2 linked regions of the Macaca mulatta genome follow. Each later gene encodes a partner of the first gene's protein in a complex. Links are inferred from orthologs where the notes say so. Each region holds a gene or a part of one and is shown in the gene's direction. Other genes may lie near its edges. The genes, in order: PIGA and PIGY.

Region 1 (4,511 bases):
GATTGTGATCAGAACTATGGCAGGGGCAAACCAGGGGCTCAATAAACGAGGCTTAACCCTCATTTATACCTTCCAGGATTTCTACCCCCGTCTTTGTCTTAAAACCTATTACAAAAATGAAAAGGAGACCAAAGCAATGCTGTACCTATCTGGTAGTGTCGCTGTTATCTGTGAAACCAACTACAAATTATAAAGCTTAATTAAGTGTCCTTGAGTCTTCATCATTGTAATTCTCCCATGCTTCATCAATATCAACACAGGGCAAAGTATCTATGGCTACTCTTGCCTTACTCATCAACTCATTCATTCAATTCAAATCCCACAACTAAAATGCTCTTTCAATGATGTTATTGCACTGTAATTTGTATAAGGTACACTCCATGAAATACTTTCAATACATTTTATTGGGCATCTAATATGTGTCAGGGAGCGTGCTGACATTGGGTAAAGAAATTCATGTATTAAACTAAAACTTACTGAACATCCATTACTAAGAACAGATCCTGCCTCAGCTTACTATCTGGCAGGGAAGGCAGACATTTAACAAGCAAATACAATTTCTAGTTTTCAGAAAGAAGTCCATGTGAGATCTCAAGAGACAAGTAATCAAGGATCAGGGTGAGGAGGGAGAATGCAATCAGCAAACAACTTGAATATCATCTGATAAATGTTATACCAGCACATGGCCAAAGTACTATTAACACTAAAAAGTGAGAGTATTTCATTCTCTAGAGGCTTGGGAAAAGCATCAGAAAGAAGCTGACATTTTCAGGGATGAATAGGCTTACACTAAGCTTAATAAAATGGGTGCCAGTAATGGTGGCGGTGATGGTGCTCAGAAAGGAATTTGTTCTCGAAAACGCACGTATGGCAGGGATGGGGGACTCCAAGTACCAGCTGTGACGCATGGATGACCATCACACCACTCTCACTGATTCTTTAGCTTCCTGGTCAAGTACCATCATAACTAGTTGAACCAGTTCGAGTGGAAGTTGATATTTCGGATCAGACCTCATATGTTTCCCCCAGAGTGTAGAGTTGCCATATAAATAACAAGATGTCTAGTTAAATTTACATGTCAGATAAAAAACGAATAATTGTGTAGTGAAATCCCCAATATTTGGTACATGCTTGTATTAAACATCATTTGTGCTTTATTTGAAATTGAAACTTCATAGTTTCATCTGTTTTGACTTTTTGTGTATTTTTATTTGCTACATCTGGCAAACGTCCCAGAGCGGTAAGAACGGGCACGGTTCTGCCGTGGCACAGCTGATTACAAACAAAAGGTCTCTCCAATCAGCAGCAAGCGGGGAGGGAACTGGCGTCCAGAATAGAGACGCTGTAACCAGGAAACCAGGGTGGGGCACCCACCCTACCGACGGCCGCTTCTAGGAGACGGGCGCAGGCGCGCGCTGACGTTGCAGCCCGCGCTTAAGGGTGGGGACGACAGAGCGTCGCTCTCGGACGTGACCTCAGCGCCTCTTTGTGATTGGTTACCTAGGGGGCGCGGCCCTTGGGCGCGGACGCCTAGATTGGTGCTGAGGGACAGCAGGGAGGGACTCAGGCTGTAGCCGCGGGAGGTCCGGACACTGGCGGCCATGGAACTAACCGGTGAGTACGCGTCTCGCCGCCCGTCTCTAGCGCTCTGGCCCGCTTTTGGATGGGGCTGTTCTGCGCCCGTGGGCTCGTGGCGGGTGGTGGACGGGTTGAAGCCGACCCGGCTCGAAGCCCGGAAGTTGGGTCGGAGGATCTCCAGAGTAGGTTGGGTCTGAGGGTGCGTTTAGGACGGTTCCTTGGCTCAGGCGGGTGGGTCGAGGAACTGGGGTCTTCGGAACCCCGGGCCTGAGACCCACGTCCACTCTCTGGCTGTTTTCCTTCTCTCTTTGGGCCTGGCCAGTCCCCGCCATGAACCCAGCGGGGTCGCTGTCTGAGCAGGGTCATCCCCTCCTTGGCCCGAGCGTTTCCCCGGCGACCTCTCAGGGAATCAGGGAGTGAAGCTCAGACAGTGCCCAGGAATTGTCGGTGGAAGTACCATTCTCTTGACCCACAACTCTTGCCAGGTCTCCCTAAGGTTCTTAAGGAACCGCTACCGCTAATGATTGCCCGGGACTCGTTGACCGTGGTCGAGAATTTTACGGTAAGGTCTTCTTTGCCACTTTAAGTGGCTGGGTGGGAACCTTGGACAAATGACTCAACTTGTCTGGCTTCTCATTTATAAAGCGAGAGAGGTATTCACTAGAGCTCCAAGCCTCATTTCGGCTTTAAAAGCTAAGATTTTGCGATTGTGCAGCATATTGAACTTTTATGTCAGAGATGTTTGGAGTGAAAACCTGGTGGAAGTGGGCAGACTCCTCACAGAACGTTGCAGGCTGAGGACAAAATTTTAAATGATATTTGGTTCATTACTCACTGCTTTTGTTATCGTTCATCTTTTAAAACTGGTAGAACTGTAAGTTCGGGATTAGGTGACCACAGTAAGAAAATGTTAGTTAAGCCACCTAAAAGTACAAACTTGGGGAATTTCGATATTTGGTAATATTGAATCTTAATTAGTAAATTCAGGTCAACAAACACTTCTGGAGTCTTTCTGAGAGTGTATTTAAAATGTAGATGAGGCCGGGCACGGTGGCTCACACCTGTAATCCCAGCACTTTGGGAGACCGAGGCTGGTGGATCACCTGAGGTCAGGGGTTCGAGACCAGCCTGGCCAACATGATGAAACCCCGTCTCTATTAAAAATACAAAAATTAGCTGGTGTGGTGTGCACCTGTAATTCCAGCTACTCGGGAGGCTGAAGTGGGAGAATCGCTTGAACTCGAGAGGCAGAGGCTGCAGTGAGCGGAGATTGCTCCACTACACACTAGCCTGGGCAACAGAGTGAGACTCCCTCTCAAAAAAAAAAAAGTAGATGAATTTGTTGGAGAGAATAGACAGGCCTTTGCACATACAGTTAATTGGCATTTTCTGAGTTTGCAGGTGAAACCGGAAACTCGGAGCTTTAGGATGGTTTCTCGTTGTATAGTTGTGTTTTCTGGAGCCTTGGAAATCTTATTTGTAAAGCTGAGGAAGATTTTGACTAGATATCCAAGATTCTTTTTAGCTTTAGATATCTAAGAATGTATAATAGTACTAAATATTGAGTGGGCGTTTCATATTAATAAGGCTTTAGGGGACCCCTGAGATAAACATTTTGCACTTTAAATGGAAAAATGGTCCCAGATACAGCCCATCTCTAGTTTTAGCCTTTATCTTTAGACACCACACTGAAGGGAGGGACACTCATTGAGTTTGAAAGGCCTGCATAACTGAAAGAAAAGTTTAAAAAGTGAAGGGAGCAGTTAGATAATCACCCTCTTTGGTTTTTGTGTTTTTGTTTTGTTTTGTTTGAGACGGAGTCTCGCTCTGTCACCCGGCTGGAGTGCAGTGGTGTGATCTCGGCTCACTGCAGTCTCCACCTCCCAGGTTCAAGCGATTCTCCTGCCTCAGCCTCCCGAGTAGCTAGGACCACAGGCAGGCACCACCATGCCCAGCTAATTTTTGTATTTTTAATAGAGATGGGGTTTCGTCATATTGGCCAGGCTGGTCTTGAACTCCTGACCTCAGGTGATCCACCCACCTCGGCCTCCCAAAGTGCTAGGATTACAGGCGTGAGCCACCACACCCGGCCTAAATAATCACCCTTTTTGAATAAGGAAGGAGAACATGTGGATTGTTTGCAGCATGTGCTCTGGTGACATTTGAAAAAGGTGCTCTCAAAAAGATAGTTAGAGCTCCAGGTGTGTTTTAGTGTAAACCACACAGGTAATACTAGCAAAACTTTATGAGATTAATTGAATTAGTGACTAAGCTCTACAGCAGGGGTTGGCAAACTTTTGTAGAGGACCAGATGGTAAATATTTTCAACTCTGTGGGTCATATGGTCTCTGTTGCAACTACTCTGCTCTTGTAGCACAAAAGTAGCCATTCACATAAATGAATGGGCACACCTATGATCCTATAAAACTTTACAAAAACAGGCAGTGGACCGTATAACTGAGTTTGAATCCTGGCCTGTTTTAGTTGTCTGTTATTTTTTACCGAACCACCCCAAGACTTAATGATGTAAAACAACAGCCATTTTGTTATTTTTCATGATACTGCAGTGAGCTAGGCTCAGCTGGGTGGTTCTGTTGGTCTTGCCGGTGGTCACTAGGAGGCTGCATTTAGCTGGTAAGTTGGCTGGATGACTGGGCCTCTGGCTCTTTCCATGTAGTCTCAGAGCTCTTCTTTCTCCATATTGTCATCTCTTCCCTTGCCCCTCTAGCACAGTAGATGGATTTCTTACATGTTGGCTTAGGATATCTAAGAGTGCACAAGTGAAAACCACCACAGCTTGGAAACCACCACACCTTTTTTAGGCTGAGGCCAAAAATTTGCACATCACTTTCACTACCTCCTATGGGCTAAACCAGGTCCAAATGCAAGGGAAAGGGACTATACTATAGAAGGGCATAAATACCAGGAGACAT
Region 2 (4,500 bases), on another chromosome or scaffold:
TTAATTCCTGCTACTGCCCTAGTCGGAAATAGTGTGAAGGTAACATAGGAACTTTACAGTAGTTTCCCTTGAGGGTAAGTCCTGGTAACTGCCCTATTCTCTAGTCCGTTAGTGACTGGGGGGGTAAGTCCTGATAACTGCCCTATACTCTAGTCCCTTAGTGACTCTAATAACCGACTATGAAAGATTTCTTTGTGGGGGAAGGAAGGTGTGGCAACCGGAGACTTTCATTATCTCTTAAATATCTATCCAGTAGAAGTGTTTCCTTTTTGGTATCCTACAAACTACATTAACCTTAGAAAATCTCCTGAGCATTAGTGAACAAAGAACATCAAAAAATTAACTTTTTTTTTTAAAAAACAGGATGGCCCAAAAAACAAATAGACAAAAAATTAGGATGAACGCATAAACATTTCTCAATTTATTTTTACATTGGAGTGGGAGAGAAATTTGAAAATATAAACATATTTTCGTATTCTTTCCTTCTAGCCCCAGGAACTCAAAGTGTGAAATGATAATGCCCAGAGATGCAAAAAAAAGTTCAGGTTGATATTCAGCAGAACGGAGGGAAAAAATGGATGACTAACAAGAAACTTTGAGTCTTCGGACATGGAAAAACTAGATGACATAAAAATAAAAATAGACAACATTAATAGAGCACTAATTTGTGCCAGGCACTTTTCTAAATGTTCTTCGAATGCACAATCACATTTATCCCCTACCTTGACAGAACAAGGTAGGTACAATTATTAATCTTATACAGATAAGTAAAATGAGCAGTTAAGTCACTTGCCGAAGTAATCCGGCTACTAAACTGTGGACAGGAAACCAAGCTGTCAGGCCCCAGAGCCCAAGTTCCCATCTACTACACTGTAAGAAAGAGATCTAACATGCATCACTTCCTCGGAGAGTCGGAAGCAAACCTGGGATACAAATTCACTGAATGGATCACCCATTTGACTAACAGACATCTGCCTGTTACACAGTTATTTAGGCCCTTTGCGGCCTCCAAGCTCATTGATAGAAGTAAATTAGTTGTGCTTTATTACGCAAATACTTCACAATGACTGGGTCTCAGGCAGGAAGAATTTATATATTTTGGAGGGTCAGAGGCCTAGACCATTCCTTCCAGGTTCTCACTTTTTTAAATGAGACAGAAAGAAGTCAAACAAGATTACAGAAACTAATGGTATAGTAAAGACGTACATGAAACAAATGAACGCTTTCAATACATCCATGGCAATACATTCAATACAATACATGACAGTGTGTTTGAAACTTCACTTGGAGGTAACCACGTAGGTCCAAGCCTAACTCCCTACAACTCTGAGATCTGGCCACTGGCTTCCTAGCATCTCTGCCACAGGCCCCGGTGAAAGCCCAGACACCTCGACTTAAACACTGATTTAGTTTGTAGTCTGGTAAGGCGGCGGGGCACCCACTAGAGGCCTCAGCCCTGGGGCTGTCCTACGGCCTGCAGATGACGTCCGTGGGAAAAGCAGTCGGAGCAGGAGCACCCTCGGAACCAAAGCGCCCGCCCCGCCTACTCACCGGCAGCGTTTCCCAGAGCACCAGGGGGCGGGGCCTGGTCGGCTGGCTTGTACTACCGCGGAGCGAGGAGCTCGGCCCCGGCTGGCGGAGGCGCAGTGAGGCCTGGTCTCCGGCTGCCAGACCATGCTGAGCGGAGCACGCGGCAGGCTCGCCTCAGCGCTGCGGGGAACTAGCGCAGCGCGGTCCGCGGTCGCCTGTAGGTGTCTGCACGCGTCGGGCTCGCGGCCTTTGGCCGACCGGAGCAACGAGACGGAGGAGCCGCCCCGCGCCTTGGATCCGGCGCTGCTGGAGTTCCTGGTGTGCCCGCTCTCCAAGAAGCCGCTCAGGTGACTCGCTGGTCTTGGCCCTTCCTTCGCAGCCTCCCGGTGGGCGGAAAGGGAGTGGTGGACCGCGGCCTGTCTCAGCCACTGGGGACTTGTAGGTCGGTGAATACTCTCCGCTGCCATATTCTGGACTCTGTCCCCGCCGGTGCATGCACCTCCCCCTGCGGCGGGCAGAACGGGGGAGACCGGAGGCCAGGGGAGCCGCGTCCCACATCTCCCAGAGCACATAGCCAGCCTGCCGGAATGGCTCGAAGCGTTTTAGGCTTCGCGACCGGCTGCTCTTTGCAATCACCCGGGGACCGTTTTAAAAATGCCGATTCCCCTGCAGCCCCCAAGACGGGCAGACTTGGAATGCTCGGGGGTTGGGACCTGAACATTTGTATTTTCTTTTTTTCCTTTTAAGAGACAGGGTGCCCCCCTACGTTGCCCAGACTGGCCTAGAACTCCCACCTCAGCCTCCTCAGGAGTCGGGAGACAGGCGCCGCCCCCACGCCCAGCTTATTTGTGTTCTTAAATGGTCCCTAAATGATTTCTAACGTACCAGCAGGTTCTTGAATTACTGCGATTCAGGACAAGTCCAAAGCCATCCGGTTTTTAAGCCAAGATAATGAAAAGTATTTTACCCTCCAGATTCTTGTGAAAGTGTCTTGTACAACTGGTGCCTGACAATCTTAAGCAATTCAGCTGTGTATGCTGCCTGGTGGCTCTTAGTTGTGGCCTAGCAGATTTCTTAGAAGCCTCTTTAACCTAGTTTTTGGGAAGACAGCTCTACAGTTTCCAAGCTCCCAAAAATGGAATATTGACAACACTAACGCTAGTATTACAAATCGCATAAACGAAACACCAAAACGTTGTCAGTGGTTATCTTTGAGTGGTAGATTACTAGCAATTTTTCATATTTCTTTTTTCCCATAATAAACATATTCAGTTTTCTCAAACCTTGAAATTATTTGATTTGCGTTTATAACTAGCTCACGGCAGACTTACTGCTTTCCAAAGTTTCCTCATTTCTGCCCTCTCACCTTTTCCAGTGATTTCCTTCTAATGGATTAGTTAAGTTTTTCTACTTAGCATTTATTCTAAAACGAAGAAGTTGATTTTTCTCTAGTGTTTATTCCAGTAGTAAATTAACAGAGATGATTTGGGGGTTGACCAAAGTAATGAAGGAATATTTGGATAAGAGAGGGGGATCTTTTCTGACTAGTATGAAAAAAAAATTAAGGAATAACTTGTGAATAAGGTGAAAAAGAGAATATGAGAGAAACTGACTAAAATGGGAATAATTATAGATTCTAAGAGAATTTTTCTAAGATAAAAGGTTGAATTGGCTATCGTTGCTTTTAATTAAAGAAGACTATTCTGGGATTAACTCCATACCAAGAATTGGATAAATGGTGGTATTTGTTGAAAATCAGGCTCTTCAATTATTTTATTTTTCCACAACTCATTTTGTTCTTTTTTTTTTCCACCCCAGATATGAAGCATCAACAAATGAATTGATTAATGAAGAGTTGGGAATAGCTTATCCAATCATTGATGGGATTCCTAATATGATACCACAGGCAGCTAGGATGACGCATCAAAGTAAGAAGCAGGAAGAAGTGGAGCAGCGCTAGTTCATAATTAAAAAAACATAAAACGCAACAGCCAACTTTTCTTAGTACCATATACCTTTTAAAACACAGTGGCAGGTAATAAGTGGAAGAGAAGAATGTTTCTGTCTCTTCCTACATTGACTGTTCTTATTCCACTGGTTTCTTTAACAGGACTGTTCTACTCAGCCTCTGTGGAAGAAAACTTCCCACAGGGCTGCACTAGCACAGCCAGCCTTTGCTTTTACAGCCTGCTCTTGCCTATTACCATACCAGTGTATGTATTCTTCCACCTTTGGACTTGGATGGGTATTAAACTCTTCAGGCATAATTGATGCAACTAGAGTCAATATGCTGTATACATTAATGGTAGTTCTTGGGCATCTATCTCTGAAAGCTCAAATGGATGGAATTGAGTTTGTGGGAAAGAGGCTTTGCTTTGCGCATATCAGGCTTAGGACTGTGGGAAGCTTAAGTTGCAGGTGCTTCTTTTATTGTGCTCTTGTTCTGCCCTTGTTTTTTGAAGGCTCTGACTTATAACTGCTGTATCAGAAGAAACATTTTGACAGTGTCTTGTTGGAGATAAACATCCCTAATTGACATGTGATGACTATTTCTTATTCCATTCATCTAAAAGTCATTGAAATTTTGTTTTGCTTGTTTGTTTAGCTTCAAGGTCTTTGGTAAAGTCACATGTTAGGGATGACTGAAATAATTCCAAAGGAGTGATGTTGGAATAGTCCCTGTAAGGGAGAGAAATGCATTTGAACGAATGTGATACAAAACCATATAATGAAATAGAAATTTCATGTACTTACAAAAATTGAGTTTGTAAAATTACCTTCATTTCTTTGACATTAAATGCTTATATTAGCAATAAAGATGTTGACACTTTCCCATAAAAAATAAACCAGTTTGTAATCATTTGTTTTGTTTATTTGTTTGGTCACAGAAGTGTTATTGATACTAAGGGAAGTTGTAAAACTGCACTAAATATAGCTGTGTTTAGAGAGGTACTTAATACCTAAAATAGA

Evidence for each region.
Region 2: PIGA (region 1) and PIGY share a complex: the UniProt entries of both Homo sapiens proteins name them as parts of the glycosylphosphatidylinositol-N-acetylglucosaminyltransferase (GPI-GnT) complex. The link is inferred for Macaca mulatta from reciprocal best matches to the Homo sapiens genes PIGA and PIGY.

Annotation. Positions count from the first base shown.
Region 1 is NC_133426.1:14,994,220-14,998,730, reverse strand, and holds the start of PIGA (phosphatidylinositol N-acetylglucosaminyltransferase subunit A), read left to right. Parts: upstream 1-1,558; 5' UTR 1,559-1,601; coding exon of another isoform or gene 1,602-1,614; intron 1,615-2,063; exon of another isoform or gene 2,064-2,140; intron 2,141-4,145; exon of another isoform or gene 4,146-4,511. UniProt on the Homo sapiens protein: Catalytic subunit of the glycosylphosphatidylinositol-N-acetylglucosaminyltransferase (GPI-GnT) complex that catalyzes the transfer of N-acetylglucosamine from UDP-N-acetylglucosamine to phosphatidylinositol and participates in the first step of GPI biosynthesis.
Region 2 is NC_133410.1:97,843,134-97,847,633, reverse strand, and holds PIGY (phosphatidylinositol N-acetylglucosaminyltransferase subunit Y), read left to right. Parts: upstream 1-1,585; 5' UTR 1,586-1,674; coding exon of another isoform or gene 1,675-1,877; intron 1,878-3,348; coding exon of another isoform or gene 3,349-3,490; 5' UTR 3,491-3,585; coding exon 3,586-3,801; 3' UTR 3,802-4,380; downstream 4,381-4,500. UniProt on the Homo sapiens protein: Part of the glycosylphosphatidylinositol-N-acetylglucosaminyltransferase (GPI-GnT) complex that catalyzes the transfer of N-acetylglucosamine from UDP-N-acetylglucosamine to phosphatidylinositol and participates in the first step of GPI biosynthesis.